Arabidopsis thaliana: one gene and its partners. The protein of the gene in region 3 purifies or fractionates together with the protein of the main gene of each other region. This does not show direct contact. Each region holds a gene or a part of one and is shown on either strand. Other genes may lie near its edges.

Region 1 (11,151 bases), on a different chromosome or scaffold from region 3:
CGTCCATCTCTCTCCTCTCCTTGAATTCCTCTTGCTTTCCATCTTTACATTCATGTGTACGTATCAGTCAAATTATATTTGGGTCATATTCATATGTAATGATGCAAATAATTTCCAACGTATAATAAAGGTATATACCTCCCAATGTGTAGTTCCAAATCTTGATGCTTCCGTGAGTGTCCCATTCGCCGTCGTGAACAGAAACACCTTGGATGTGGTGGCCAACAGCGTCAGGGAAGAGATGGTTCTCGTTCCTCCACCTCTGGAAGTGTTTCTCTGCTGTTCCTTTTAACGGTACCTCCGTCACGTATGTTCCCGACGTCGCCATTTCGCTCTCTCCCTCTCTTGTTTAAAAGTTTCCACTCGTGTTTTTGTTTTGGTTGCTGAAATAACACTTGTTGGTTTATATAGATCAGAAGCTGACGCTTTCAAATATGGTTTCTACCGTTTCTTTTAATCATTAAAATAAAATATAAGAGCATTAGTGGATCATAGAAATGTATTTTCTTGATTTGGTAAACGAATCCGCGACCACGTTATTAATGTGTATAGTTGGTCCATCATCCTTTACAAGATAATCAATCATACGCGAAACACACTAATCGTGAGGACAATTATCGCGTATATGTTTACTAAATTTTATCCAATCATTAATCGCAACTGCGACTTGTAGTCGGTACTGAATTGTGATGTTGTGTCATATTTGTATAGTGATTGATAAATATTAATATATAATCGTCGTGTCATAAGTAACCTGAATCCATAGATTTGATAGTGTGACTGTGCTTGCGTGTGGAAGTTATACTTATACATGAAAATATGTATAAATTAAAATCACATATTTTTATTAATTTAGAGATTTGAGGTAGAACGAAAAGATTAATTTATTTTTGCATTTTATGGATCGATATTAAAAGTTTTGAATGGTAAGTCAGATTTTTGGTAGTCCAAAATGTGTGACAGATAAACTGTTTTTAATTTTTAATAAGCAAAAAAATAAAAATCAGGCGGCTAACTGCATACAATTTTTGTTTTATTGCTTTTTTAGTAATAAAAGTAGATTAACTGCGTACAGTTCTTTCTCATACGTTAATGTGAGTGGTCCAACGGCAGTCCATAATTTTGTAATAAATAAAAAAAACAAAAGGTAAAATAAAATATTAACCTTTTATTCTATAAAAGCACAATTCTTTTTTTGTATTTTGTACCATCACACACACTACAAAAAATGTAAATATCTCTCTCATTTTTTTTTAACGTTGCTTTTTAAGCTTATTATCCAATATTCTGATATTGCCTTAAAGAGCAGGATTGAAAAATATATGATAAGTTTTCGTCGTTTTATAATTTGTTTATATTTAATAGTATACAACTGGTATTGTAATTCATTGACGTTAATTTTGCTTAAGTTTTTGAACTTTTTAGAATCTATAACAATATGGTCATGTTTATGTTTTTGCTTAAGTTTTAAAGAAAAAAAGTAAAAAATAAAAAGGAATCTATAAGATTTGCTTGTAACCACAAACTCAGCAGTAATATGTACATACACCAATCAAACGATTTAATATGATCATATTACGTCAGTGTATATGTCAGTAATTTGACTCTAAGAAACCTTAATTAAAAATTTGTAAACAAGACAATATGCCAAAATAAAATATACGTCTACCTTCTCATTAATTTCCTTGTTTCTTCTTCATTGAACTCTTGAACAAATATTATATGGAGATGTCACTTGTCACTTCGAGTTGCTAGGAAACTTCCACCGGTGAATTCCTCCTCTATACAGATTAATTAGTTCATATCCCCTTGTCTCTCAGCTCTCTATCTCCACACTTTTTCTCTTTAACATATCCTTTACTAAATGGCCGTCACTGATTATTTCGCCGGTGAGATAGCGACGGAGCTTTTGAAGCAGCTCTTTCTGATATCTGCGAGAGCAGGCCGGTACAAAAACACAGCCGACAACCTCAGCACCTTGATCGAGAACATTCAACCGACGATCAAAGAGATCCAGTACAGTGGAGTTGAGCTGCCTGCTCACCGCCAGGCTCAAATCCGTATACTCTTTGAGTCTCTAGAGAAGGGCAAGAAACTCATGGACAAATTCTTAACATGCAATCGTTGGAATATGATTCGACAGTTATATCTCATGAAGAAAATGGAGAAGCTAGAGAAGACCCTCTCTGATTTCTTTAGGGCTTCCATTTTGACACACATCCTTGCCGATCTTCATCTTCTCCGGGCCAATTCTGATGAACGTTCCCATGAGGTCTATCTATCTTTGTTTTCTTCTCTCTCCCTTGTGATTTCTTGTTCACCAAGTTTGAAGGCCATCTCTATAATACTCGTTTCTTTTGCAGCACGTCACATCAACCAAAGGGTGTGACTACGACGGACTTGGCTCAATTCAGTACCAGCACATCCAGCCTAACCTAGACATGGATATGCGGGTCACCATTTTGGAGGCTGAATTCCGCACCTTCTCCAACAACGTCATCAACAACATGCTTGCGATGAAGCGAGCGCAAGATGTCTTACTACGAGCCAACGGCTTTGACCCCGAGACCCTCCTACCGATGATGTCTCCTCCTGCAGCCTCCATGAATCCTCCTGCTTGACCACATACGACTTAGGATACTTGCAACCCACTCAACCTTGCGGACTACGATCTTTAAAACACAAATTGCTTTCGATTTATGTTTTTCAATTTGTTAAATTATGTTTCAGTCACAATTTTAAATATAATTTATCGTCCACTACTCTGTTTTAGCTTCTTCTTTTTCCATACGTTACAATTGACCTTACTTTTTTACGTATTAAAGAGAGAATTGGTTTATACACCTCAAATCAGCAGGTTCTACATGATGAATGAAGCCCTTTTAATATCAAAACAACCCTTTTAGTAGCTGAAGGAATCAGATTGTATCTCTAACAAAAAGGCTACCAACAAAATGATGTTATCCAAGTTGGGTTCCAAAATATGGGGTCTCTCAAGAGCTATGTCTTTCAGGTTGTCTATCTGCTCTCTCACACACCTCTTTCTGCATCCGGGAACTGAAGAACGAAGCGCACAAGTCGGGGAAAGGCGGGAAATTGAGTGTTGATCCACAAAACATTGTTTCCCAAGGTTTCTCTGACATCAATGCTTTCTTCCTAGATCTCTTCTTCTTTTTGCTTATTGCTGCAAGAAAAACTTCATAATCTATGGCGCTAGTCTCGAGTTTTTCATCGCTATAAGGATCAAATAGAACATATTCATGGCTCCTGTTTACATACGCGAGAAGCGGCTGAGACTTTTTACCATCTTCCACAAATGAAAGTGTTCCTCCTCTGGCCTGCAATAAACATTGTAATCAAGTCTCTTAACGGCAATGAGAGAACTTTGATTAATCCTTCCTTAGAGTATATACCTTCATTACAGTCCAAATAGCTACTGGTTTAGGGCCTGACCCATCAAACAAGAGGATAGCACCATCTTTCCCGCGGAATATCTGTTCGTTAGATTTTACCAACCTATCAGATTCTGGAAGCCATGTTAAAACTGCAAAGTATGGTGAGTCCACTTCAGTAGCAATGGCTGCAAATAAACAGGAAAAATGAAATATACTTAGACAACCAAAAAAATCAAGATTTCATGATCAAAAAGATAAATAATAAACCTTCTATGTATAATCTATATGACCATGATAAGCAGAACGTCATCAGATCCCAGACAGATAAGTGCGGTGTGGAACCATGGGATGCAGCAATAAGGAAGCCTCCTCCAGTGAATGAGAGTTCCATAATTGGCTGAAACATTTACATATCATTTAAGATTTCAACAATGACTGTAACTAATGAACATGGAATTGCTTTTGTGTGTTATACAAGTCTTACCGCATTTGCCTTTCCAACTACATACAGGAGTTCGTTCTTTAACGGGTGCCAGATCGTAATAACTGTTTTAGCCGCAAGAGCCAGACAAGAACCATCCCCGGAAAAAACAGCAGCTGTTATTGGCGTTCTCCTGAAAAATATTACATCAATTTCATTTGACATCACAACGACTAAGTAATGAGAGATGTTAAAAGGTTCCTAATCTTTTACTTATAAGAGCCAACTCCATGACAAATCCAGTTTGAGTCCTCAGGTGTCAGATTCTTGTCGCTACTGCAAACCCAAATCTTGACAGACATAAAGTCATATCAGTAACACAAAAGGTCAAACGATATTCCAAGGAAATGATCCATTTTTCACTACTCTGTAATCCTACCTTGAAGTCCCCAGCAGAAGATATACTAACAGCCATGGAACGGGCGGGGTTAAGGGCAATGGCTGTAATTGCAGCTTCCCTGTGAGAATACAGAAGGATCAAAAGTTACACTCACGATGAGAATCAAGGAGTTTAAAAGTTTATAAGAACATTGAAGTAAAAACCTGTGAGGTTGATTTATGACTGTCGATAAGCTGAAAGTTTTGCTGTCCGGTACAAATACCCAAAACTTGAGAGAAACTATGCCTTCACTGAAATTGCTTGCAGCAAATCTGGCCTCAGCTGTAGTCATTACTGAGCCATTCCGAGAGAGAGCAACCGCAGTCACGAGAACCTATTTTCCATAATTCTTCAAATTATTACAAAACAGAAAGAGAGCGGATCTTTTACTAGTAACAACTATGTCATCTTACAGAGAAGAAACAAAATGTACTAACCCGGACTTGATCATCATCGTCTGGATGATGATCGCAAATTTGAACCTGCATATGTTAGGTTTGTTAAATAGTAAAATCATACAACTATCAGATACAAAACTCAATAAGCCTTTTGGGAAGCTAACCTCTGAAATGTCATGGTCACTTAAAAGGTTGTAGAGTTGAACACGATGATTCGCTGTGCAGAAAGCAGCTATACCGGAAGAACGATCAATGGATACAGTTCTGGTGAGGCATATATCCCGCGTTTTGACGTAGCATATAAACCCGTGACGCTCTGGTGTCGGAGGCTATTACATAGTAAAGAACACAATATGCATGTGAAGTTAACTCCAACAGAAACGGTATACAATATGAGCATGCTTAAACCAACAATAACAAGGAAAAATTTCGGATGATAGTAAGAACGAACCTTGATTCCAGATATCGTTCTCAATATCTCCATGGAAGGCATTTTAAGAAGATGAATTTGATTATCTGCACAAATCACCTGAAAATTCTTGATCTTAGTAGAGTTAATGAAACACTTCATTTGCTTTCTACGGTTGTTGTAAACGGAAAAACTCTTACAGAAGAAAGAGTTGAATCTGAAGAGAAGATGAAATACAACAAGGGAGATCCAATCTTTGGCAAAAGTTGCTTCTTCCCTGTACCTAGCTCCCAAACAACAAAATCACCTGCCTTTACCCCTAAAAGAGTCACAAGCAAAGGAAATATAGCATAAGAACTCAATATATATATATATAAGAAACATGAATTCCTTATCAACACACAGAGATACAGTCACTATGATGAAAAAATAACTCAGACTCACCAGAATACAAAAGTGCTCCATCTGAAGAGAAATTAAGGACGGTTACTTCAGCGCTGTGCCAGTTGAAAGTAGTGCAAGATTCAGTATCATCTTCAGTTTTCACTGAAGTAAATTCTCCAATACCATTATCCTTCCAAATTAACACTCTTCCTGTTACATCACCGGCTGCTAATATTCTCTGATTGGGATGGAAAGCAAAAACAGTAATCAACTCTGTATGATGTAATGTCGTCTCCTTTGGCATGAGGTGCTCTGATGCCACATTCCATATATGTATACTGCAGTTATGACAGACGCCGAAAAACTCTCCAGAGGGACTTAAAACAATAGGTTTTGGTTCTTCCATCTGCACATTAACAAAAATGATTATAGAATCAAACATGAGGCTAATCGAAAAATGGTTAATCCACAAATCTGACCTCTTTCAAAGTGTCTCCACTATGAAGAGGGTCTTGAGTGAGATCATATCTCCGGATTTGTCCAAACAAATCTTTGGACACACTTGAATAGTCCTCAACCGAAACATAAGCAATCACGGAATGTGACACTTGAGCTGGAATCATCACCTACAAAGTCCCAACAGACACTTAGAAAAGGGCAATTGAAAGTTATCAAATTTTTGTTTATAAGCTGCAAAGTATGGAACTTTAACAGACCAGAGAGTGAATTGGAAGGTGGGTATCAAATATCTTCAAAAGCTTCGGCGCAGAGAACTCCCAAATCCGAATTTTCCCATCGAGCGACGAAGTCCAACAGTAACTGACGGTTTCGTCGGAAGACGGATCAACAATCACAGACGTCACAGGCGCTGTATGATCCTCGAGTGAAGTAATCTTAAAAACACACACACGCATACGCTAATGAGAGAAGAAGATTAGAGGGAAACCCTAAAAGGAAGGATGCTCGAGTCGAGAGATAAAACCTTTAAGCCAGTGGCGACGCTGTAAACAGAGACGGTGTTGGCTGTGCATAAAAGAAGCTTCTTTGCGTCTTTCGAAAACGCCGGAGCGGAAGTAATGTTGTTTCTTCCGCCGCGAATCATTTTCCTTCAACTCACGGAGATTCTGAGAAGACGCAAACATCTTACTCGGCGATTAAAAATTAGATTTTGCGACGTTTTTCCGACGAAATATTACAATGTACCCAGTTTTCGAGGAAATTATGTCTGTGACCAAATTGCGACTAGTACTTAGTACTATATGCTTGTACTTGTAGTTTCACTTTCTTCGTAACACCTGGCTCTGTGATGACTCCTCTCATTCTCTTCCTCCATGTTTGGGTTTCGCTTCTTGGACTAGGCCTTGACCTTGTTGGGCCTCGGCCTGTTTGTTTATTTTTTCTGTTTTATCTTTAATAAAATGAGACGGCAAGAAAATAACTTACATAATTTTTCAAGATCTTAAGTATTTTGTATTTTCTTAATTTATGTGAAAAACCCTGTGGATAAACAAAATATAATGTATAGTCCAATAATTGGAAATTTTGTAGTTAACAAACTCACTTCGTTTTAACAAAATATGGATGGATGATTCAGAGGCATAGTATGCGACATTAACTGTATTACAATGGTCGACAATGACTTTGATTTTTGAGGTCGTCCAATAAATACTAAAATGTATGGGTATGATTTTAGGTTGACCAATAAACTTCGATATCCATCGTTAATTCCATGAATGTTTTAAAAAACTGAAGTTGCTTCTATTATATATAAGTTAATCTATTTTATAATTTTATTTTATGACAGTTTAGCTATAATTTCTTTTCAAAAACATTTATGTTCTTAATTTATCAATCTATCACTTTCCTCGTCAACATATTACTTTTTTTATAAATCTTTTGCATATGACTAGCTTATCGGAAAATCGTTCATATAGATAGCGACATAACTAAAATAAAATTAGAAAGATGATATTGTTTTGATATAGTGTTTGTTTGTCTTGTTTCAAAAGACTATGCAATCAACTAGTTGTGCGTCTTGTGGATCTAACAGTTTTAAAAATGTTTAGGGTCAATAGTTTAATCAGACTTGGAACGGTAGTTTATACCTTTAGATACAATATTATCTAAGGTTAATTTATGTCATGGAAAAGTTATATATAGACAAAATGTTCAAAAAATTTAGGATTTATTGTGAAAAAACGAGAAATGGTAGATGATTCATATACATATCAACTTATTCCAAAGTAAAAAGTTTAAGAAATAAGAAAAATAAAAATTGTAGCGTAACAAACATTGACATATGGCTCGTTGGAAACAAACTAAATGTAATAATTATAGTTGTTCATCAAACTATTCGCATACAACCATCATGAACGATGACTAAAAATGGGAGACAAAGTGGGACTTTTGTAAATCCTACGTTTAATGAATTAGAATGTTGAATTATTTTTTCAGATTTTTATACATATGAATTGTTGCTTTCAGTGTTCTCTTAACCAATGAAAGTAAAGATGCTCAAAGGCTAAATATAAAGAAGATAAATTTCATTTCTCTTGATTATTCTCTTTAGGGTTTAAGATTACATCATGTTTCCTTTCATAGGCATTATAATCTTAGTGACACTAGGGTTTTCACTGACACATGTCAGGTCTCTATTGATCCTAGACAGTCAAAACAGTTTTGTAAAACCACTCCTTCTTTTCCAGCACAGCTCCTTGTTTTTGTCCTTTGATCCAATCTTGATGTACTTTTGGTTTTGTCTTCTTTTGCAGGAGATGACCGTTGGAGCTGAGAGTTGTTTAGGGTCTGCGCTTGGGCCTGTTGTTTATTGGGCTTGAGGTTTGCTGCATTCTCAATTTGGCCCAATCTCAGAACCTTCTTGATAATGTCATCTGAAGAATTTACCTTTACAGATTCCTCTGCTTCGTGTCCGATCACAGCTCTGATCTGGTTCTTCTCTTCACCAATCCGAGTTGTTGTCTCAACACAAGATGCATTCTCTCTAATAGCCCCCCGCAAACTCGGCGTAGGTGGAACATCGACGCCTAGTTTGTAACGAAGATCGCAGAACGGCTTGATGGGGAGAGATTTGGTGAAGATGTCCGCGATCTGTTGATGACCAGGTATGTGCTTCACAATCAGAGCTCCAAGTGCTACTCTCTCTCGAACATAATGATAGTGTAGCTGAAAGTGTTTACTTCTTTTGTGGAAAGCTGGATTCGCAGAGAGATACACGGAGGAGAGATTGTCGCAATAGATTTCTGGAGTGTCAAGTAGAGGAATGCCCAATTCCTTGAGAACAGATCCTAACCAGGTTACCTCCGAGGCAGTGTCAGACAGAGTTCGATATTCAGCTTCGGTTGAGCTTTTGGAGACTGAATCTTGCTTTTGTGAGGACCATGAGATGATATTTGTACCAAGGAAGGTACAGTAACCTCCAATGGATCTTCGTGAGTCTATGCAATTTCCATAATCACTATCACAGTAAGCTCTCAATCTGCAATATGTGTTCTTATTAAAGGAGATCCCCATTGTTATAGTTCCCTTGATGTACCTCAGAATTCGTTTGAGCAGATTGAAGTCAGACACTGTTGGAGCATGCATCTTCTGGCAAACAAAGTTAACAGCAAACTGTATATCAGGTCTTGTTAAGGTAAGATATTGAAGTTTACCTGCAAGACTTCTGAAATATGTTGGATTGTCAAAGATTTCATCTTGTGCAGGTATAGCAGTCAACTGAAGTGGCAGATGAGTAGGCATTGGAGCACAATCACTCATCACAGCCACAGCAAGAAGATCTTCTGCATACTTCTGTTGGGAGAGAAACATTCCTTCTGAATGAAACTGCACTTGAATCCCCAAAAAGTAATGTAGTCTTCCCATATCTTTCATTCTGAATTCAGTATTCAAGCTGTCTAATAGCTTTGACATCGCATCTGAACTGTTTCCTGTTATTATCATGTCATCAACGTAAAGCAGCAGCAGGATGATACTCTTGTTCTTGATGTATACAAACAAGGATGGATCCGGCTTGCTACATTCAAAGCCAAACTCAATCAGATAAGTGCTAAATTTATCAAACCAAGCACGTGGGAATTGTTTTAATCCGTAGATAGACTTATGCAAAAGACAGACATGATCTGGCTTTGATTTCTCTACAAAACCTGCAGGCTGCATCATGTACACTGTCTCTGTGAGATCACCATGGAGGAAGGCATTCTTCACATCCATCTGCTTTATGTCCCACTGCATGATGGTTGCTAGGTGAAGAACTGATCTAACTGTCGGAGTTCTCACCACTAGGCTATAAGTTTCCAGGTAATCAATGCCTTCTTCTTGATTAAATCCCTTTGCAACCAGTCTGGCTTTCAGCTTGTCAAGGGACCCATCAGCATTGAGTTTAGTTCTGAAAACCCACTTGCTGCCTAATACATGCATATTTGGTGTATAGGGCACCAAGGACCAGGTTTTAGCTTCAGAGCAATTGTCCATTTCTTCGTGCATTGCATCAGTCCAGCCTTCATCTTTTAAAGCAGCTGTCACTGTTTTAGGTTCCGGGTAAGATACTCTTTGAGTGTGTAAACCATACCTCGGATTTGGTTTTCTGATTCCATCTTTTAATCTTGTTGTCATAGGGTGGGTAGACTGAGATGGCTGAGCTGTTTGGACCTGAGATGACTCACTGTTGGAAGATGCACTCTGAGAAGATTGATTCTGAGTAGACTGTTCTGTAGTTGATGGCAGCGGTTGAATGATAGGAGAGTCTTCTGAGGTAGTGATTTGCTGAGTAGAAGAAGAAGAGCTGTTGCCTATAGGAACATGATCAAAGCCTGCCGTACACCCAGTACTCTCCTCTTCTCTCAACAAAACCCTACCAGAAGGTACTGAATTTTGATCATTGTGATCTTGATTTTCTGTTGAAGTACCAGTCTGATTCTGTTCTTGTACTGAGCAACCCTTTAACCAAGCAGACATCAATGGTGTAACATTTGCAGGTTGCAAGTGAATGTAAGCCATAGATGAAAAAGGAAAGAGTGACTCATCAAAGATGACATGACGGCTGATATACACACGCCCTGTGGTTGGAAGTAAGCATCTGTAGCCCTTATACTTGTCATTGTATCCTAGGAACACACACTTGAGTGATCTAGGGTCGAACTTTGTGGTTGCATAATCTCTTAGGGTAGGATAGCAGGCACACCCAAAGACACGTAGTGATGTGTAATTTGGAGGCTTTCCCATTAGAACTTCATAGGGACTGCATTTCTTCTCCAATACTGAACTTGGTAGTAGATTGATAAGAAAATTTGCAGTGTAGAACGCCTCAACCCAATACTTCTGTGGCATACTACTTTGGAATATCATTGAGAGTCCTAATTCAATAATGTGTCTGTGTTTTCTTTCTGCTAAACCGTTTTGTTGAGGTGTGTGTGGACATGACATCAGTTGTTGAATGCCATGTTTTTGTAGATGAGCTATGAAGTCTTTGCTTATAAACTCACCCCCACCATCACATTGAAAGGTTCCAATTTTCTATTGAAACTGATTCTCAACCATTGCTTGAAACACAGGAAATATCAAAGCAAAGTCTGATTTCAACTTGAGGGGATAAAACCAGCTGAAGCGTGAGTAATTGTCAATGAGAACAGCATAGTATCGAAAACCTTGTACTGACATTATTGGTGAAGGACCCCAAAGATCACAAT
Region 2 (11,766 bases), about 11 Mb from region 3:
AAACTTTGTTCTTCTGGGTCTCTTCTCCTGTTGCTGAGGAAGAAGATTAGTGGGCTTAAGCTTTATTTTGTGGGTGTGTATGCAAAATCAAATGGAGTGGGATAGTGATTCCGATCTCAGCGGTGGAGATGAAGTGGCGGAGGATGGATGGTTCGGTGGAGATAACGGAGCGATTCCGTTTCCGGTAGGTAGTCTTCCTGGCACGGCGCCGTGTGGGTTTGTGGTCAGCGATGCTCTTGAACCTGACAACCCTATCATTTATGTTAACACTGTTTTTGAGATTGTTACTGGTTATCGAGCTGAAGAAGTTATTGGTCGAAATTGGTGAGTTTGCTCTTCTTGACTTTTACCCTAAATTTGTGGTGTTGATTTTGTTTTACTGTAGCGAATTTTGTCTCATTTGTGGTATTGGTACGATGTTACTAGAAAGCTTTGTTGAAAGCTGTTTTGACAGAAAGAAATTTATATTTCGATTCATTATTATGGTTCTTGTTGATTATGTTAGGTATTATTAGCTAGAACCATTTTGGAATCATGGGTTGGTTATTGAATTAGAAGTTTGTTGTGGAGGAACTAAGCTATAATGTGAGGTTCAGTTTGTAATGTTTCCTATGTCTGTGGATTAGTGTTTAGGAACTCGAACTTTGATAGTTTTTCACATGTCTTGATTGGTTTATGAAAGCCTTGGGATTATTGATTTTTGTAATATTGAATTGTAATGCGTTTTTGTCTAAGTATATATGTTTCTGTTGAATATGTTTCTCTTGGGTTTTAGCGGCTTTTGATCTGGTATTCCATGTTAATTATGCATATAGTTTAGTCTTTGTTCAATACTTGTGTGTGAGGAATTGTTCGCCAAAGTACTGTATCTGTTTAGTTGTTAGTTATCTATTCGATGAATTGAATAGGAGGGTCTTGTATCTGATTTGTGCTGTTGTTTTTTATTTGGCAGCCGTTTCTTGCAATGTAGAGGGCCATTTACTAAAAGAAGGCATCCAATGGTAGATTCTACAATTGTAGCGAAGATGCGACAATGTCTAGAAAATGGCATCGAGTTTCAAGGCGAGTTGCTCAACTTTCGGAAAGATGGATCTCCCTTGATGAACAAGCTGCGTCTAGTCCCTATCCGTGAAGAAGACGAAATCACTCATTTCATAGGCGTTCTCTTATTTACAGATGCAAAAATTGATCTTGGCCCATCTCCTGATTTATCTGCAAAAGAAATTCCTAGAATATCTCGCTCATTTACTTCTGCTTTACCAATCGGAGAGCGTAATGTTTCTCGTGGACTCTGTGGGATATTCGAACTGAGTGATGAAGTAATAGCTATCAAGATATTGTCACAGTTGACTCCTGGTGATATTGCATCGGTTGGTTGTGTATGTAGGCGGCTCAATGAGTTGACAAAGAATGATGATGTGTGGAGAATGGTCTGTCAAAACACATGGGGTACCGAGGCAACACGTGTTCTTGAGAGTGTTCCCGGTGCAAAAAGGATTGGTTGGGTGCGACTGGCCCGAGAGTTCACCACTCACGAAGCAACAGCATGGAGGAAGTTTTCAGTTGGAGGTACTGTTGAGCCTTCTCGGTGTAATTTCAGCGCATGTGCAGTTGGGAACAGGATTGTTATCTTTGGCGGGGAAGGTGTGAATATGCAGCCGATGAATGATACATTTGTGTTGGACCTTGGCTCGAGTAGTCCCGAGTGGAAATCTGTTCTGGTCAGCTCTCCTCCTCCGGGTCGCTGGGGTCACACACTTTCTTGTGTCAACGGTTCCCGTTTAGTAGTGTTTGGAGGTTACGGGAGCCACGGATTACTCAATGATGTGTTCTTATTAGACCTTGATGCAGACCCACCAAGCTGGAGGGAAGTATCCGGATTGGCCCCTCCAATACCAAGATCATGGCACAGTTCGTGCACACTTGATGGCACTAAGCTGATTGTATCTGGTGGTTGTGCTGATTCAGGAGCTCTACTCAGCGATACATTCCTGCTTGACCTATCGATGGATATACCTGCTTGGAGGGAGATACCGGTTCCATGGACTCCCCCATCTCGCCTCGGGCATACTCTAACTGTCTATGGTGACCGCAAGATTCTTATGTTTGGCGGTCTAGCTAAAAACGGTACTTTGAGATTCCGCTCTAACGATGTATACACGATGGATCTTAGCGAGGATGAACCGAGTTGGAGACCTGTGATTGGGTATGGATCTAGCCTCCCCGGAGGCATGGCAGCTCCACCACCAAGGCTGGACCATGTGGCAATCAGCCTTCCCGGTGGTAGAATCTTGATCTTTGGTGGTTCGGTTGCAGGGCTTGACTCGGCTTCTCAGCTTTATCTTCTTGATCCAAATGAGGAGAAACCGGCATGGAGAATACTGAATGTTCAGGGAGGTCCGCCGAGGTTTGCATGGGGACACACAACATGTGTGGTCGGAGGAACTCGATTGGTCGTATTAGGTGGTCAGACCGGTGAAGAGTGGATGTTAAATGAAGCACATGAACTGTTACTAGCAACTTCTACCACTGCAAGTACTTGATCAAGTGATGAAGTTAAAAAGGCATTTAGATGTGTTGGACAAAAGATCTATACATTGATCAAAAACATGTTCATATTGTCTGTACATGGTGAGTTTGATACGTCCATGTTTTGTTCATCTGTTGACTTAATGTTTTTTTTTTGTATATGCAATATTACGAATTGGATTGTACATAACGTCTTTTGTAGTGCAAGTGGCCAAATGATCTAAATCCAAACCTTTTTTTTTGTCCTCCCAAAATGTTTCATGTCTGATTGAAATCAAAATTATTGTGTTTAGGGTTTAGATCTTTTCTCCACGGATCATATAATAATTGTTTTTTTTTTTGAAGAATTATTAAGAAAAAAAAGGACCAAAAAAAAGAAAAGAAAGATTCGTCGGAAAAAGCAGGAAAAAAAAAAGAATGCAAGAAATGTGAAGTGTGTTTGACTCTTTCATTGGTCAGTGTGAAAAGTAAAGTACATTTACACTTGCAAGAAAAAAAACACAGAGACGAACCAAAACCTCACTCTCTCCCCTGAAACTAATCTTCCACTTTTTCACTGTCTGCAACTTGCAACTACAACTAGCAAGCAAGAACCTTTCTTCTTCTTCTTCTTAATCTCAGATTCTTGTCTGAAAACTTTCTCTTTCATTTTCTCTCAATTTAACACTTTCAAGATGCCGATCAACAAAGACCCATCAACACCTCCTCCTGTTATCGGAAAAATCGGTCCTTACACTGTCTTTATGACTCCTCCTGCGACTCCTAAACCACCTGAATCTCCCTCCGCTGTGTCTCAGAAGCCTGTGATGGCACCACCGGTTCTTCCTCCGCCGCAGCAGTTTAAATCGGTGGCTTCTTCTGACCAGGACGGCTCAGTTTTGGGGTTCTTTAAAAACGCCGTCACAAAGGTTCAAAATGGTGAGAAATCTGATAAACAATTAACTGATTTTCAGCTCAAAGTTTCCTCATTTTTAGATCTTGAATTTGAGATTGATTTTTCCGATACCCTTTGATTGATTGATTAGGAAATTGAACTCAAAAATGATATAAATCGTTGTAAAGTTTCTATCTTTGTGAAGTGATTGGAAAGTACTAATGTTACATGAATTCTAGCTTTTCATACTGTTTATGTGATTTGGTCCTAAAAGCAATTAGATTGTGAATTTGACATTCATGTTGTGTGTGTGTGTTCTAATCCATTTGACTACAGCACATTCAAGTGTGGATGATCATTTGGTGAGGTGGTTTGGGTTAAACCAATCTAAGTATCAGTGGGCTTTGGATGAGTACTACGAAAGCAAAGAATCAGTAAGTTTTTTTTTGAGTCTCTATATGTTTCCTTTGAGTCTCTATATGTTTAGTTTCTTGTTCTTGCGGGTCCTGTATCGTTCTTTGTACTAGTTTCTATCGATAATCGATTCCTTTAGTCCGATTGATTCATCAGCTTTTTGTTTCATGTACATTTTGCGTAAGCTTAGAAGTAAAGCTAGTTTAAGTGTTTTTTTGCTCTTTGCTTCTAGGCTAATGAACATAACAATATACAACCAATGAAATTGATACAACATATTTGAAGCTTGATATTCACTCAATATCAGTTGTAAAAATTGTTCATTGGTATTTGGTAGTCAAAAATGTCATTGATTGGTTTTAGAGTTACTACTCTCTTTAGTCATTGATTTGCTTATGTTCCTCAAGTAAATCTTGTAGTTAACACATATCTTTTGAATCGAACGCAGGATATGAAGACCGTGAAAGCAAAGGAGATGCCGGGGAAAGTACAGAGTGTATAAGCAACCATGTATAAACTCATTTCCCCTTTGGCCAATTCTAAAATCTGTTTTTCTGAGAGAGTTCAAAAAAGCTTGAGTCTTGAGGAAAGTTCTCTTCAGATGATATTTAATCTTAGAGATTTCTTTTGGTATATTTCAAAACCTATGTAGTAGCTCTTTCTAGTTTCATCTAACAATGGTGAAATCTCCAAAGCAAAATGGAGAGATGTCATTGGTCATTTGGTTTGTTGTAAGTTTAATCACATTATTTACTTTTTAATTGTATCGTTATAATCTATATATTGTCTCAATTCAAAAAAGTTTGCTCAGTGTTTTTCTTTTGATTGTTGTCATACATGAAAACTTTTGCTAGATACCTCTCAAAACTTCAATAATTATCTTCATCAAACCTAACAAGGCCCATTACAAAGGCCCAAAAACATTATTGTTTAATATTTTCCGATTAAATAAATAGATAAAAACTGAAATGTAATTGAGCAGAAAAAAAAACAAAAGAGACGAAGAAGGGTTTAAGTTAGGGCTTTTGAAGTAAACCAATTTTGTGCGTCTCCCTTTTCTTCTTCTCTTCCCAATTTCACCGCCTCTCTCTATCGCCGGAAATTAACCATGAAACGCGGCGGAAGAAGCTACGTAACTTCACCTCCATCATTCTCCAACGACGCTAAAAAGCTTCTCGTCTGCACAGGAAACACTGTCTCTGTTTTCAGCGCCGCCACTGGCTTACAGGTACCAAAAATTTAATTCTTCTTCGATTTTGTTAGGGTTTCTATTCGAATCATTGATTGATACATTTCTGTTTTAGATTACTTCGCTTGAAGGTCATACAGCTCCAGTAACAACTCTAATTGTTGTTCCTGCATCAAGTCCTGCTCAAAAAATCCTTTGTTATTGTTGGACTGCTTCTCTTGATGGTACTATTCGTCATTGGGATTTCTCTGGACCTGAGCTATTGAAAACTATTGATGCTCAGCTTCCGATTTACTCTATGGTGAGTATAAAAAAAGTTTGATACTTTGATTAGGTTTTGTGAGTGTTTTGTTTGATGAAATGAATCTATGTGTTTTGTGTGTTTTAGGTTATACCATCTCTTTTGAGCGAACCTCAACAAATTGATAAACGTCGTGAGTTGTCTGGTAAGTTGGTTGCTTATGTTTCCGTTGAGGATATAAGTGTGGTTAACCAAGGGTCTAAAGAGTTGCGTGGACATATCCGAAGATTTAACCTCGCTAAGTCGCGTATTCCTCGTGGAGATACTTTAAAAGAGGTTAGTTTTTTTAATGGACTTATTTGAAAGAGGTTTGTCTTTAATGTTGTCTTGAAGTTGAATTGTGTAAGCTCAAGTTATTTGCTTATTTCTTTGTGTAGACGGCAGAACCAGAATCTATTGTTATTAGTCCCTCGGGAGAATTTTTCGGAATCCGTCACAAGTGTAAAATTCATATATGGGATGTTCCTTCTGGAGGATCAAGGCATGCGGTTTCAAGGAAGATGACATTACATCACACAAAGGTTATCAATGCTTTTGCTTTTCATCCCACGGAGAGAGTTATAGCTGCTGGAGATGTAACTGGAAGAGTGTTGATTTGGAGAGGATTTGGTAATAGAAAACTTGCCTTGGGTAATCAAAAGAAAAAAGTGAGAGCCATGGTTGATTTGGACAATGCTGGAGTGAGAGGTGAAGATGATGCTGAATCTTGCACTACATGGCACTGGCATTCTGCTGAAGTTAATGTCCTTAATTTCTCTTCCGATGGAGCATATTTGTATTCAGGTGCGGCCGAGTTATATTCTGATATCCATTGGATTTATGAACCGACATAGACTAATAGGTCATGAGCAAATTTACTGTTTGAAAGTAATGTCCTGACTTCTTACTCCATATTGCGTCTGTTTTCTGACTCTTTAGGGGGAAGGGAAGGGGTACTTGTCGTTTGGCAGCTAGACACAGGGAAAAAGAAATTCTTACCAAGGATAGGATCCCCCTTGCTGTATTTCATGTGGTCTCCAGATCCAACTCTTTCTTCTGTAAGTCGGAGCTTACTCTTTCATTCTAATCTAACACACAACTGCTGAAAGCAAAAGGGAATGTTTTACTGATTTGACTACGAATGAGAGCTGCAGGTGGTTTGTGCAGATAATCAGATCCATTTGCTTAAAATGCCTTCCATGGAGATCTTAAGGACCATTTCTGGAATCAAGGTTCGTCTTGGAAACTTAATAATTAAGGACCTGTAATCATTCTCGTCAGTTTTGTCAACGATTCTAGGATTCTAGAAACTCTCGCAACCGCTTTACCTTTTTCTTGGTGTTTACTTCAATGTGTGTTATTTTGTTACAGCCTCCCCCATCATTGCCTAGGATGTATGAAGGCTTGGCTAGTACTGTTGCCTTTGATCGATCTTCTGGCATAGCTGCTTTGTGCACAGAGAATTATTGTGTACAGCTATATAATCTTCTCAATGACCGGGGAATTTCAGAGGTTAGAATTTGGCTCCAATATATCCTTAAGAAACTCTATGCCACTTTCTCCTGTCTATGAAATCTCTAACTTCTTTAATCAATGCTTTTGCAGATTCAAGTTTGTGAGAGAAACCATCAACCAGGAGATGAGATCACAGTAAGTACATTTCCTTGCTGTTTATTTGATAGTATATCTAAGATTATTTTCGTTTGGGTGATAATTTGAGTAAACGGTAATAGGTTGTGGTGACAGCGGTTGCTCTCTCCCTGGATGGCTCAGTGATGAGTACAACCGAGGTGAAACTTCCGGAAGATGGAATAGGAGGCTTAGTGTCCCTCAAGTTTTGGGCGTCTGAACCAGACAGCAAAACTTTCACCTTATCCACAATCGTATATGAACCTCATAGGTTAATATTTCACCCTCTGCTAATGGATAAAGCTTTATTTTTCACCATTACCCAATTTTCTTGTCATGTTTTATTTCTTGTAAACCTTGCAAACATAGATTTCAATTTCTCTTATTTAGTCTACAAACTGTTATATCCTTTGCAGAGAGTAAATTTTATTTTCCTGTATATCTTACAGGGATGCCGGTGTCTCAGCCATTGTGTTCCACCCTACCCGCTCCATGGCAGTGAGTACATCATTCGGTGGTGACTTCAAGGTAGTTCTTAAACTGATTTTACATTTTTCTCTCTGTGTTTTTTGTTTGTTATTATTGTCTTACTGATATCACTTTTGCTGTTTCAGATTTGGGTATGCAACAGTGACAAGAACCAGACGGATAAAGACTCTAGCTGGATATGTCACGCTGTTGGCTCTTATAAGTAATAGCTTCTCTACGCGCTAGGAAATTTCAACATTCACAAATTATTCGCCTTGGCGATCAAATTTATATTCTCTTGCCTTTGAATATTTTCCAGGAAGAAACCAATGACTGCTGCTGCTTTCTCTGGGGATGGCACTGTTATGGCTGTTGCGGCTGAGAATGTTATTACACTGTGGAATCCAGATAAGAACATTCTCTTGTCTGTTCTAGGATCGACACTCACGGTAAAACCTATGAAGTTATCCCTAAAAAAGCTGGAACCTTTTTCCATAAAGACCAATGTTTAAACCTCTCTATATATTATTACAGCCTATCACGAAGCTCTGTTTCGCTGGAAAGTCTGAGTTCCTTGTTGCTGCATCCCATATTCCAAGACCTGAACTATCTGTTTGGAATACATCAAAGTTATCTTTATCATGGTCATATGGGTTACGCATAGAAGGTCAGTATTATAATGCTTCTTTGATTTCCCCATGAAAACTCTTGCTGTGGTTTACTTAGAAAATGCTTGTTCTCGTTCTATAGCTGTCACCTCTGCAGTGGATTCGTCAGCATTTGCAGTCTTGGCTGTGATCCCAAAAACTTTTAAAACAGATGAATCTAAGGAGAACATCTTCCGTGGTAGAGATGGTGCCATTCTTTTGTTTAACGGATCAGATCCCAAGCCGGTATCTATATGGACTGTGATGAAGGTATGACATAAGAAATAGCCCGTTAGTATTTAACCTTGGAGAGACAGGAAAGAATCCAACGAGTTAAACAATGTCTAAATTGCAGGCTAGGGGAGGATCAATCTCATTTTTAGAAGGAGATAAGTCTCAGCTTCGCCTTGCATATGTAAATGGAAGCCATGAATATGTTGTCTTTGATCCCAATAGTGATGAGTCACATGAGCGTAGCGCTGTTGACTACGATGGTCTTGCTGGTCTGGAAGAGACAGGTAGTTAAAACTTAAAACATATTTGAAAGAACCTTTGTTGATTATACCATGTTACTAATCGAAAAAGTCTCAACCTTTTAGGAGACGCCGGGTACACATCCTTATACGGGCAGTTACCTGATTATGACAAGAAGAGAATGGAGGATGTTGAGTCGTTGGGAACACCGTTTGTATCATCAGAAAGACCGTGGGAAACAATATTCAGCGGCTCCACACTAAATTTCCCGCCACTTCAGAAATTATGTGCTGAGTTCTTTGAGTCCCTAATGGAGAAAAGAACGGCCGTTGTGGAATGAGACCTTACACAAAAAGTTTTTTGTAAGGTTTATTATACAGAAGAAGAGCTCATTTTTGCAGCCATCTTTGGTGAGCAAAGTTGTTGAGTTTGTTCAGGAAATTTTGTAGCTCTTTGTTGTGAGATTCGGTCCAGTTTATTTATGTTGTTGCTACTCAAAAAATACAGGATTCTAACCAATTGTGCCATGTTTGACCCAAAAACGAAATGAAATATCACGACCTGCCTTTTTTTTTTTCGTTTCTAAAATACGGCATGCATTTATATATTTTAATGCAAATTGTTCTTGAAATCATAATGAGATTTATTATACTGAGGGTGCTTCGTTTTTAAATTTGAAAAATGTTCATGAAATCGTTATATATCCTTAGTGGAAATAAGCAAAATAATTTGGGGACTTTTTACTTTTGCTAATAGATTCTCAATAATTGTGAAACGAGTCAGGTGCTCCTAACCCACCAAAAGAAATTATTCCAAAATCCAAATATTTCAACTAACACCTTGCATTATTTTATTTGAACTTTGCTTGATAACATTTTGCATTATTAAGTTGGAAAATGGGAATACAAATAGATATTTCATATTTCGTGATTCGAGGTTCATCTATTATATATTTAGCTCTTTTGGTGGTCCAATATGTTGAGCAAATTATTCTTTAAGTACATGAAAAAGGTAATTGCTTTGGGGACACTTACCTTTTTATTTTTATTTCCACATGCATGTAGGACAATAGTTTGCAAGGTTTGTGTTACGTCTTCGAAAAGCTTTCTACTTTTGCAAAAAGATCATTGTTTTTCCTTCAAACAACAAATTATTTATCTTAGCTAAATAAAAGGTTTGTTTAAAATTCTACAAATGTGGTTGAATTGGCTACCCAACTTTGCAGAGGAAACTTTATTAATCAACCACACAAAATAAGATACGTAAATCTTTTGTAACAATCAAGTTAAGTAGCTAAGTGACGAAGACGATCGACATAAACATCAAATGATGTTGTATTTAGTACCTATGAACATAATTAATACCAGACTTTATACTTACGGGATATTTAATTGTAGAGTGGTACTACGATAATTTTCTGTGTCGTACACCTGGCATGGGCTCCCACACCAAATAAGTATCCACATATTTAACTTATTATTGTTGTATTGATCCAAGACTGCATTATTATTAAAAACAAATTATGTATATATAATGATTAATGTTTTTAGTTTTAGATAGAATCATTGATCATCAAATGGTATCCTAGGGCGTGGCATGCTCAAATTGGTTGAGTCAGGGATCTTGAAGACTCTTTGATCATGGCATTATGTTTATAAAAAATGACTTAGTTTTTATAGACAATTCTTATATTGAATGTTTTAAATCATGGCATTCAGCTATTCTCTTTTAACACTGAAGTCGACTCCACTGATTGCATACATGAGATTAATAAAATCAAGGGCTAATGAAAAAGGCATTTTATTCGCTGATTTGACCACTCATTATTTTATTTGCATTACAATTTCCAAAAGACATTTGATGAGAAATTATTAAAATAATTGTGTTACTTTAATAAGTAACAATTTAACTAGTAAATGCAAATCAACAAGGACCCTAGCTCTTAATGTGGCTTTTAGTGAGATGATATCATGACTTTGCAAACTCTGGATAGAGTTTGGTTATAATATTATAAACAGTCGACATCCAAAAAATAAATAAAACACCTCATTGAATACTACAATTGTTTATGAAATAGACAACTCTAAACAAATATATACAACAAAACAAAATTGATTTTTCAACATTTTACAACTAAATTTAGATCTAGCGACTACGATGCGAAGAACTTCTATTAGAGATAGAGTCAGGAGGAGAAAGTGAGATTGAAGAATCACATTCACAATCCTCAAGATCTTCATATCCCCAAAACTCTTCTTTAACTTCTTCTTCCTCTTCCATTTTCCATTTCTCTTTCTCTATATCTTCTCCTTGTAGTACTTCTAAGACCTAAATGTACCATAAATCAACACATAAACATAAAGATTCATAAAACAATAGTAATCAAGAACAAATCGTATTATCAATTTTTGTAATTAAGAATGTAGTAACATTTTCTTGTAAGCCAAGTTTTGATCTTGCAAATCCGGTTTAATAGTTCTTGTTTTGTTTTTAATTACATATATTGATTAAAGTTAAGTGTCGGTAAATGAGCCACTTTTCTTCATTATCCTCAATAATCACAACAGAAATATAGTGCTTGTTTTGTTTTGTAGTATGTGACTGTGATTAAGATTAGGTGTCGGTAATTGAGCTTTTCCCATATATTATATATAGTACAATTTTTTAATTAAATCAAAAAGTTGAAAGGTACTACTATTCTTTATTCAATAACAAAGAAAAAGCAACATAAGCTTAACGTTTGATGTATATGTCGCATTAAATAAAGATGGTTATAGTTAATGACCAAAGACATTTTTTCAGTCACGCAGCCGATGAGCTAACTGAAAAGCGATCGTTGAGTAACATATCGACACGATTACGTCTCATCATGAACCAATCATAAATAACTTTCTCTTTACTAATAAAAAACCTATAATTCCGTGACACTAAATTATTCTTTTGTTGCCTAGATAAGTTTTCACTTGTAAAAATGAAGAGAAGTAAACAAACAAATGATGCACTCTACAAGTTAACCATTAGTGAGTTTAATGGACGTACCTCGATCATGGAAGGTCGACATAGAGAAGAAGATCGGATGCAGAGAGACGCGGCGAAAGCAATGCGATGAAGTTGTTGCAGATCAAATTCTTCACCGATCCTCGGATCCACCAGCTTCTCAATCTCTCCATCTTTGATTATCAGTTTTGCCTGGATTACAATTTATAAGTATAAGTAACATGGAGATATATCGAATAAACTCATCATATTTTGTTTATAAAAA
Region 3 (9,338 bases):
TTTGCCTACAAACACATGTACGACTAATTATTCACAAGAAAGTATACATGTCAAAGCTTTTATGGTGCTTATTGTGGTCTTACCAGCCATCTTGGAGACTCAGGGATAAAAAAGAGGCCAAGGAAGGAGGCAGCGCATGGGATGATTCCTGAAGCCACATTACACACATAAGTATTCTGACATGGATGGAGACTCTCCACGTAAATTCCTTAATTACCTATTAATGCCAAGACTCTCCACGTCACTAGTGTGCCTATGATGAAGGAAACCGACACTCCAGTGCAGATCAGAATCTGTGGCACAAAACGGTAGCTTCTTTTCACAATCCCCTAACAGAGTAGTAAGGGAGACAAAAGATCTTCATGTTGCTCTTTAGTTACCTGGTTCAGTGTGGTTAGAGCCCCTCTGAAAGTTTTAGGTGCAATTTCTGCTATAAAGATTGGCACCTACACACCAAACGTATCATTAACACTGGATAACGAGATGTTGAACAGAAAATGTATTAACTCGATGGGCTCACCACATAGGAAAATGCTCCCATTCCATATCCCGTTGCCAGTCTTCCAAGGTCCAGAGCCACTACTCCCTTTGATTGAGACAAAAAGAGAGATACATTAGGAAAAACTTTAAGAGCAGCATATATAGCCACTGTTTTGGATCCTGAGTAATACCTTGGCAAAGATGATTGCTAGCCACCCGACTACACAAAATGCAGAGGAAACTCTCATCGCCTGGATACAGATCCACCACAAGTAAGTACGTGTTGTCAACACAAAGAAAACTAATAGATGGAAAGTTTCAAACATTTCCTTACCCCCTTTCTTCCAACTAAATCAGCTATAGGCCCGCTTGTTATAGCACCGATCATTGCGCCAAAAGTTAGTAAAGAACCAAAGAGTGAAAACTGCAGAATCCAAGCTAGAGGTAAGCAACATTCAATGAATAAGTGATGAACAATCTTTCCTAGAAGGATTATGTACCTCAGCTATAGTCAATGAAAGGTCATTCCTAATTGCAGCCTGAGCAGGTGAAGAGTATCCCGCCTGCAACGAAACCAAGTTTTAGTATAACGTTCATTTTTAGACCAGAAACAAAGTTAGTGACTTTCCATAAATCTAAAATCACTTACACAAGAACCGAACGCAAAAGAACCACAGACCGCAACGAATGTGCTGAGATAAACCATCCACGGCTGGTCTGGTTTTGATCCAGCCATATTCTTGTCCACCAATGGTTCTCTGACGGCATCACTTGCCTTGGACATCTTCAGGTATTATGTATCTCCCTTGAGCACTTGGCTAACTCAAAAATTGCAAAAGAGACGAAGCCTGAAGCAAAAGTTGAGTAAGAAGACAGAAACATACAAGAAGAGTAAAATGGAAAAGCGGAGGACAAGAATTAAAGGTGAAAACTTTTTATGGGTAAGAGTGACCCTTTAGGCAAGAAATCCTTTGTGGGGTTTGTTACCATTCAAGAGATGAAAGCTGTTTTATGTCCTTTACCAAGAGCAGCCATGGATTACAATCCAAAAATTTGATTTCAGATTTTCTGATGATAACCATTAAACTAGAATATAGCTAATGACAACGTTGAGCCCACTCGGGGGAGTTCAAACAAAAATGAGTTTATAAACTACTTATCCACTATGTGTATACTAAAAGATACACTAAGCAAATTCACATTTAAAAAAAAAAAAGAAGAAAGATGTACAAGTAAAACTGAATACGCACACACATGCTAGTGGCTGGCGTGGATTGGACAGAGACAGACACGTGATGTCTTTGGCCTCTTGTCAAAACCTTGATCTCAGTTTTTTTTTCTGAAATTCTTGTGAATCATTCATTAATCATCCAAGAAAAACAGAAAACTCACGCAGATCCATTTGAATCAGATCTGTCTTTTTTATCTTTCTTGTTAACATTAAAAGACGTGACTGTTGATACAGCGATCTTGCTTATGTAACTCGATCGTTCCTTCTTCTTTCAGAAAGATTTTGTTTATAAAAATTTGAGTAAAAAGAAAAGAAAAGAATGTAAGATAACCCACCCACCAAAATGTCATTGCAAAGTTGATTAATGACGTTAGCAGAGAAATCACCGGAGCGGATCAATCAAAGTGTTGCACACTCACACATGGATATCTTCATGGACCTCCGCATCTTTCGTGTCTTTTTCCAACAAAAGCTTTTGTCGTGGTCTGACATTTGATACCAATGTGAAATGTGTGTATATATATATTTCTAAGCCTGTATAATATTGCATCCAAAGCTGTTACAACAAGATGAGTTTATTGGAAAAAGCAACTGTACTTACATAAGTGACAGAAGAAGCATCAAAGAATGAAATGAATGCACACTAAATTAATATCTACAACATACATATCTCATCTAAGTGGTATTCGTGTTCCCTGAGGGGCCATCACCTCCGAATGAGAAGGCCTGATATCCCGTGGGGCTAGTGAGCTTCCCTGAGCCACTGCTGCTACTAACAGAGCGGTCAATCTCTTCCCTACAAGCCACCAGAGGGATTGGCCGTTGAGGTATGGCTATAACAGTGAACTCATTGCTCTCCAGCATTTTCACCACTTGATCCATTGTTGGCCTTGCGTGGAGCTGAGGGTGAGAGCACAGCACTGCTATCAGCACATACTTCTCCAGAACCTCTGGGGGTCCCTTCTCTGGCATCCCGTCTTCCACCACATCCAATGTCTGGCCTTCTCTTACCAGCGACCACGCCCAGTCTGCCACCGACACAGGCTGCCCCTCCTCGTCTGTCACAATCGCCTTTCTCCTGCTCAGAAGCTCTAGAAGCACCACCCCAAAGCTGTACACGTCGCTTTTCTCAGTCAGTTGCCCGTACAGTGCGTACTCTGGAGCAACGTATCCCATAGTGCCTGCGACCCGCGTGCTCATATGAGTCATTCCTTCGGGGTTGAACTTGGCCAGCCCGAAATCCGCAACCTTGGCCTCAAACCTCTCGTCCAAGAGAATGTTGCTGGCCTTGATATCCCTGTGGATGATGGAGGGTTGTGCGCCGTAGTGTAGATAAGCCAGTCCTCTGGCCATGCCAAGGGCGATCCTCTGCCTAAGAGGCCAGGCAAGCTGAGCCTCCAAGTCGCCAAAGAGATGGTCATGAAGGCTACCGTTACTGACAAGATCACAGACAATGATCCTCTGGTGACCTTCATAGGGCGTGGTTGCAGTACAGTAGCCTCTGAGGGCAAGGAGATTGACGTGGCGGATGCTGGCGATGACCTCGACCTCATGAGCGAAGTTGGCGTCCCCTCCAGCAGAACAGTTCTTGAACCTCTTGAAGGCAACCTGGGTGCCGTCGGGCAGGGCGCCCTTGAAGACGTTCCCGTAACCTCCCCGGCCAATGATGTTGTGGCGTGAGAAATTGTTGGTGGCTTTCTTGATCTCGTCGAAGCTGAATTTGACAAGAGTGGTGCTCTCGCTCATGGAATCAAGTCTAGACTGCGTGCCAGCTTCTAAACTAGTATCCCGAGGCTTGAGAAGCTTGCTTTTCTTCCTCCGGCAGTACCAGAACCAAGCGGTGATAACCAGAACAGAGGCGACGAGCAAAACAGAGAAAGAAGAAACTAGAACTTTGACTTTGTTAGCACCGGAGCTAGTGGGAGAAGCCAAATCGAGCTGAAACAAGCATTTGGCGGTGCCTTTGTCGGTGGGGCCCAAGGAATTGGCGAAAGCAGCGGCGTAGATAGAGGGAAAAGAAGCACAGTCGGAGACATTACCGAGGGATGGACCGGAGAGATAGGGCTGAAACGCGGAGAGGCTCTGAGTGCAGGAGGCGCAAGGGGTATTGCTCTCGAGAGAGGTGTTACAGCGCATGGCGGTGGTGGCGAGGGAGGAGTTAGGGATAAGGGATTCGAATTGAGACCTGGTGGTGATGTCCATGCACCCCTGCGAAATCCACGGCGTCTGGAAACCGCAGGTGGATCGGACGTCAAAGCGAGGGAGGAAACCGGCGACGGAAGACTGGAGAGCAGCCCAGCAAGAAGCAGCAGACTCAGGTGGCGGGAGAAAGGAACCCGTCTGACGGAGATGGTGAGAGTAGAGGAGGCGTAGCCCTTGGAGGAGGTACTGGCAGGTGGTGGCGCCATCGGGTTTCGGACGCCGGAACGGTTCAAGGACGGAAAAGTCCAGAGGACACGTGGAGTTCTGAGCGGCGGAGAAAGAGGTGAAGACAAAGAAGACGACGGCGATTCGACGGAGAAACAACATCTAATTCGAAGAAAATTACTAATTGACAATAAAGACATAACATAACACTCTCTCTCTCTCTCTCTTTGTTTCTTACACTCATTGACCCACTAGTAATATTTTGGTCATTAGTTAAATATATATATACTCTTAAGTGTATTATTGATTGTGTTATTTACTTGATTTACTTGAAACGGTCAAAACATGTCATGAACCTAATTGAGTCTCATCCACGAAGTTGCACGAGAACTTTCCTTTCACTTTTTGTTTCATTTTCATACTATTCAATCAATAGTGGTAATCTGGTGAGAGATGATAATATTTAAAATTCTTGATTGGATCCTGAAGAGGTCTTACCTACTCATGTTTCTGTTTCGTATTTAATAACAAGCCTAATTGCATTATCTAATAAATCCAAACGTGTCTTAGTCTTATCATAGCTCTGCTGCTCACAATTACTAATCTACACGTGATGGCCGCCGGAACATGCGAAGAAAAGAATCTGTGTTAAGTGTGTATTCTAAGAAATTCTATATTCCACCGTTTGACTTCAAACCAACAAAAATAAATGGACATTTCAAATGGGCCGAGAAATGACGAAAAGGCCCAAATAGAACCGAAAGGGCCGAATCATCACCCTTGACTTTGAGAGAGAGCATCTCAATTGCTCCTCCTAGTCTCCATGAAGAAGCGCATGTGGAGAATCTCACTGATTTCCCAGATATCTGATCTGCTCTGCCTTTCCCGTGGCTCTTCTTCAACCTTGAAGACTCTGACCCCATTCTGCTTTACCCTCTCCAGGTCTCCCTTCCACCAATCCGGGGGCGATGATGATGCTTCGGGATTGAAAAACCAATTGTTGCGCTTCCGTAATGATTCCGGTAAAGTTGCCTCCGTTTTGGAGAGGAACAAAATCCAAGGAGCTGCGTTTGTTGAGCTCCTTAGGCAGTTACGTCCATGGCCCGTTTTGTCCCAACTGGTATACATACATCTTTTTTGTCTTCGAATTTCACAACCACAAAAGAAAAAGCCTTTTTTCCGTCATGTTTGATGTTGTTGCTTTGCAGGTGTTCGACTGGAGAAGAAACAAGGCACTATGCGATGGGTTGCCTATGACTGCTGATGAATACGCTAAGGGCATTACCATTTCTGGTAGACTGAAGAATGTCGATTTGGCCCTTTCCTTGTTTCACGAGTCTGCAAACAAGACCACCTCCGTCTACAATGCTTTGATGGGTGCTTACCTCTGCAACGGTTTGTCTCATCATTGCGAGCAGCTCTTCCTTGACTTCAATTCTCAACAAGACGGACCCTCCTCTTCTACTCCATCTGTCTCTACTTACAACATCCTCATTTCTCTTTATGGCCGTTTGATTATGGTTGAGCGGATGGAATCAGTATTCCTACAGCTTCAACAACTCAATATCCTTCCCGATTCCAGCACCTACAACAACTTGATTGCTGGGTACATCTATGCTTGGGATTGGGATAAGATGGAAGCAACTTTCCACTCCATGAAGAACGGCCTTGTTAAGCCTACGCTTGCCACCTATTTGCTGATGCTCAGAGGGTATGCAAACTCGGGAAATCTGCTACGGATGGAGGACATGTATCAAGCCGTCAAGCGTCACGTTGACAGGAATGAGATTAAGTTAATCGAGTCCATGATTTGCGCATACTACAGGAGTTGTCACAAGGATAGGATCAGAAAAATCAAGACTTTATCCAAACTTATCCCCAAGAAAAGTTACAAGCCTTGGTTGTATTTGCTCTTGATGCAGGTCTATGCTAAGGATGATAATCTACATGCCATGGAGAATTTCATAGACCAGGCTATTACAAAAGGACTCCAGATAGAGACAGATGGTATTATGAGATCAATAGTGGCTAGTTACTTCAGGTGCAATGCGGTTGATAAGCTTGCCAAATTCGTGCAGCGTGCAAACTCTGCTGGATGGAAAATGAGCAGGTCTATGTTCCATGGCTTAATGATCATGTATGGATCTCAAAAGCGTTTTAAAGAGATGGAAAACGTCCTCTCTGAAATGGAAAGCTTTAAAATAAGCCGGTCCAAGAAGACGCTTTGTATTCTGCTTAGAGTATACGCAGCAACGCATGGACAGGAGCATAAGGTTAATCAAGTCGCAGGAATGATGTTAAAGCATGGACATGATTTCCAACGACCTGAAGCGAGTAAAAGAGTTATGGGAAAATAGGATACTAGAGAGAGAGATATGAATAAATACAAGCAGCATATTTTGTTGGGAAGGATTGTATGCATCCAGGGATTCGATTTGAACCCTATAGCATCAAGGAATCAAACCATTGAAGCAGAAATGTCTCCGTTGGCGTATAGCATCCATGTGTCTTTGATTGTAACATTGTAAGTTGCTCTTTTGCGCATTACTTCTGGATATACATGATGAATAGTTTCGTACTCTGTGGTTCTTTCAGTATACAAAACTTCTTCCTTACTTGATCATTCTCCAATTTGCCTGATATAAATCAATCCACATGCATTATGTGTTAAGCACAAGATTGATGAATCACCTTTCCTTGTGGATGAATCGAGGAATTCGGTTTTTCTTTTCAGAGAAATAAGGATTGAGAAACTAAAAAAATCAGAAGAAGAAAGGAAAGGAGAGAAGAGATAAATTCGTTTAGTTTGTCCAAGTTAAATACGAAGGTTAAGTAAGGGCTTCAGATGCCAACAAATTGGTAGGCCCAATAACATAATAAACGAGGCCCAAAAACTTCATTTGGATACTTACTTATCAAATGTCTTCTTCGCCATTCTCTGCTTAAACCCTAAACCAGCCTCCTTCTCTCTCTCTGTTAGCTGCGTTCTTCTTCAAGCTAGCTCTCTGCTTGTACTCTAGAATAATGGAGGAAGAGCTTCGTGTTCGGCTGAATGACCATCAAGTGTCAAAGGTTTTCCCTGTGAAGCCCAAATCAACGGCGAAACCTGTTTCCGAATCGGAGACTCCGGAATCGAGGTACTGGTCCTCCTTCAAAAATCATTCCACACCTAATCTCGTCTCCTCCGTAGCCGCTTTGGCTTTCTCTCCGGTCCACCCTCACTCCTTGGCCGTCGCTCACTCCGCCACCGTCTCCCTCTTTTCCTCGCAGTCGCTTTCCTCCTCCCGCCGTTTCTCCTTCCGCGATGTTGTCTCCTCCGTCTGTTTCCGTTCCGACGGAGCTCTTTTCGCGGCATGCGATCTCTCCGGTGTGGTCCAGGTCTTCGACATCAAGGAACGAATGGCTCTCCGTACTCTCCGCTCCCACAGCGCCCCCGCTCGATTCGTCAAGTATCCAGTTCAGGACAAGCTCCACTTGGTCTCCGGAGGCGACGATGGAGTCGTCAAGTACTGGGATGTCGCCGGAGCAACAGTCATCTCAGATCTGCTAGGCCACAAGGATTATGTCCGCTGCGGTGATTGCTCGCCCGTCAACGATTCAATGTTGGTAACAGGCTCTTACGATCACACGGTGAAGGTGTGGGACGCCAGAGTCCACACGTCCAATTGGATTGCCGAGATCAACCACGGACTCCCAGTGGAGGACGTCGTATACCTGCCTTCCGGTGGATTGATCGCAACCGCTGGTGGCAACAGCGTCAAGGTATGGGATTTGATCGGAGGCGGGAAGATGGTTTGCTCCATGGAGAGTCACAACAAGACCGTCACGTCTCTCCGCGTTGCGAGAATGGAATCGGCTGAGAGTCGACTTGTGAGCGTTGCTTTGGACGGATACATGAAAGTCTTCGATTACGGGAGAGCAAAGGTGACTTACTCTATGAGGTTTCCTGCTCCTCTCATGTCTCTTGGCCTTTCCCCCGATGGTTCCACTCGGGTAATCGGAGGGTCTAATGGCATGGTGTTTGCCGGTAAGAAGAAGGTGAGAGATGTTGTTGGAGGACAGAAGAAAAGTTTGAATCTCTGGAGTCTGATAAGCGATGTGGATGAGAGTAGGAGAAGGGCACTGAGGCCTACGTATTTCAGGTACTTCCAGAGAGGGCAGAGCGAGAAGCCATCCAAAGATGATTACTTGGTCAAGGAGAAGAAAGGATTGAAGCTGACGAGACACGATAAGCTCTTGAAGAAGTTCAGGCATAAGGAAGCTCTGGTCTCGGTGTTGGAGGAGAAGAAACCGGCCAATGTTGTGGCAGTGATGGAAGAATTAGTGGCGAGGAGGAAGCTGATGAAGTGCGTGTCGAATATGGAGGAAGGCGAGTTGGGAATGCTGCTAGGCTTCTTACAAAGGTACTGCACTGTGCAGAGGTATTCAGGATTGTTGATGGGATTGACGAAGAAGGTTTTGGAGACGAGAGCTGAAGACATCAAGGGTAAAAACGAGTTTAAAGGGCTTCTCAGGAACTTGAAGAGGGAGGTTAATCAGGAGATTAGGATACAACAGTCTCTTCTAGAGATTCAGGGTGTTATTGCTCCTTTGATGAGAATTGCGGGTAGAAGTTGATCTAATCAATATCACAAGTTTTGTTTGTTTCTTTTTTTCATTATATGCCTTCAATTTTGTTCTGCTAATGATAGATATTTCATGGTAATGTCTAAACTTGAAATGATGGATTTCTATAACAAAGAGCAGTTTTGTTGGTTTCCTTGACTGTATCAACTAGAAACAAACTTTTAAACACATAAATTATGTCGATTGATAAATGTTTTACCCGTCGTCAGTGTCCCTTGGACCGTTCACCCTTGAGCGCTTTCCGTCTGGCAGCCGATCTAATTGTCTCGATTAGAGGAGCGTCCTCGTCGAGCTTATCTTCTCTGTCTGACCCGCCACTAATAGACTCATCCTCATCGCTTCCACTTTGCTCATCAAACAGTCTCTTTCGCTCTGTTTCCGGACGTTTTCTTGGCCGTCCCCTGCGTCTTACATTTGCTGCTTCCTTGTCGTCTGTGACAGACGCATCATCACAAGTCAAGACTTAAAGCATGCAGACATATCATACTCATCTACCGGCTTTGATTAAACCAAATCAGATGTTGTGCGAGTGCACATAACATACCTTGTAAATCCTCGTTTTTCAAGCATTTCTCCTCCAAGGTTTCCAAGAAGGTGAAGCAAGGACGCCATCCACTGGGATCTTCGTCTGTAT

What was found.
Region 1: the proteins of SWA1 (region 3) and AT3G26480 fractionate together in Arabidopsis thaliana (co-fractionation; one large-scale study listed by BioGRID). This does not show direct contact.
Region 2: the proteins of SWA1 (region 3) and AT2G18900 fractionate together in Arabidopsis thaliana (co-fractionation; one large-scale study listed by BioGRID). This does not show direct contact.

The regions. Positions count from the first base shown.
Region 1 is NC_003074.8:9,684,280-9,695,430, forward strand, and holds AT3G26480 (Transducin family protein / WD-40 repeat family protein), read right to left. Parts: upstream 6,688-11,151; 5' UTR 6,549-6,687; coding exon 6,429-6,548; intron 6,340-6,428; coding exon 6,163-6,339; intron 6,073-6,162; coding exon 5,926-6,072; intron 5,853-5,925; coding exon 5,507-5,852; intron 5,382-5,506; coding exon 5,263-5,381; intron 5,183-5,262; coding exon 5,105-5,182; intron 4,983-5,104; coding exon 4,818-4,982; intron 4,738-4,817; coding exon 4,693-4,737; intron 4,590-4,692; coding exon 4,420-4,589; intron 4,335-4,419; coding exon 4,256-4,334; intron 4,167-4,255; coding exon 4,090-4,166; intron 4,010-4,089; coding exon 3,880-4,009; intron 3,793-3,879; coding exon 3,663-3,792; intron 3,581-3,662; coding exon 3,414-3,580; coding exon of another isoform or gene 3,390-3,413; intron 3,364-3,389; exon of another isoform or gene 3,339-3,363; coding exon 2,994-3,338; downstream 1-2,993. Other genes in the region: AT3G26460 (Polyketide cyclase/dehydrase and lipid transport superfamily protein), read right to left, coding at 1-42, 139-328; AT3G26470 (Powdery mildew resistance protein, RPW8 domain-containing protein), read left to right, coding at 1,865-2,272, 2,364-2,621.
Region 2 is NC_003071.7:8,185,569-8,197,334, reverse strand, and holds AT2G18900 (Transducin/WD40 repeat-like superfamily protein), read left to right. Parts: upstream 1-4,798; 5' UTR 4,799-4,925; coding exon 4,926-5,045; intron 5,046-5,121; coding exon 5,122-5,307; intron 5,308-5,394; coding exon 5,395-5,583; intron 5,584-5,684; coding exon 5,685-6,090; intron 6,091-6,225; coding exon 6,226-6,344; intron 6,345-6,440; coding exon 6,441-6,518; intron 6,519-6,657; coding exon 6,658-6,798; intron 6,799-6,891; coding exon 6,892-6,936; intron 6,937-7,019; coding exon 7,020-7,186; intron 7,187-7,364; coding exon 7,365-7,443; intron 7,444-7,529; coding exon 7,530-7,606; intron 7,607-7,702; coding exon 7,703-7,832; intron 7,833-7,917; coding exon 7,918-8,050; intron 8,051-8,133; coding exon 8,134-8,300; intron 8,301-8,385; coding exon 8,386-8,548; intron 8,549-8,629; coding exon 8,630-8,844; 3' UTR 8,845-9,098; downstream 9,099-11,766. Other genes in the region: LKP2 (LOV KELCH protein 2), read left to right, coding at 80-324, 953-2,543; AT2G18910 (hydroxyproline-rich glycoprotein family protein), read left to right, coding at 3,204-3,447, 3,740-3,837, 4,266-4,319; AT2G18890 (Protein kinase superfamily protein), read right to left, coding at 10,650-10,832, 11,544-11,693.
Region 3 is NC_003071.7:19,636,367-19,645,704, reverse strand, and holds SWA1 (transducin family protein / WD-40 repeat family protein), read left to right. Parts: upstream 1-7,026; 5' UTR 7,027-7,102; coding exon 7,103-8,695; 3' UTR 8,696-8,838; downstream 8,839-9,338. Other genes in the region: AT2G48020 (Major facilitator superfamily protein), read right to left, coding at 1-5, 84-148, 218-293, 381-446, 521-586, 672-731, 815-904, 981-1,043 and 1 more; RKF3 (receptor-like kinase in in flowers 3), read right to left, coding at 2,387-4,240; AT2G48000 (Pentatricopeptide repeat (PPR) superfamily protein), read left to right, coding at 4,902-5,198, 5,287-6,435; SCC3 (sister-chromatid cohesion protein 3), read right to left, coding at 8,910-9,136, 9,249-9,338. UniProt on the Arabidopsis thaliana protein: Essential protein required for nuclear division and organization during embryo sac development in female gametophyte, probably by promoting rRNA biogenesis essential for the progression of the mitotic division cycles during gametogenesis.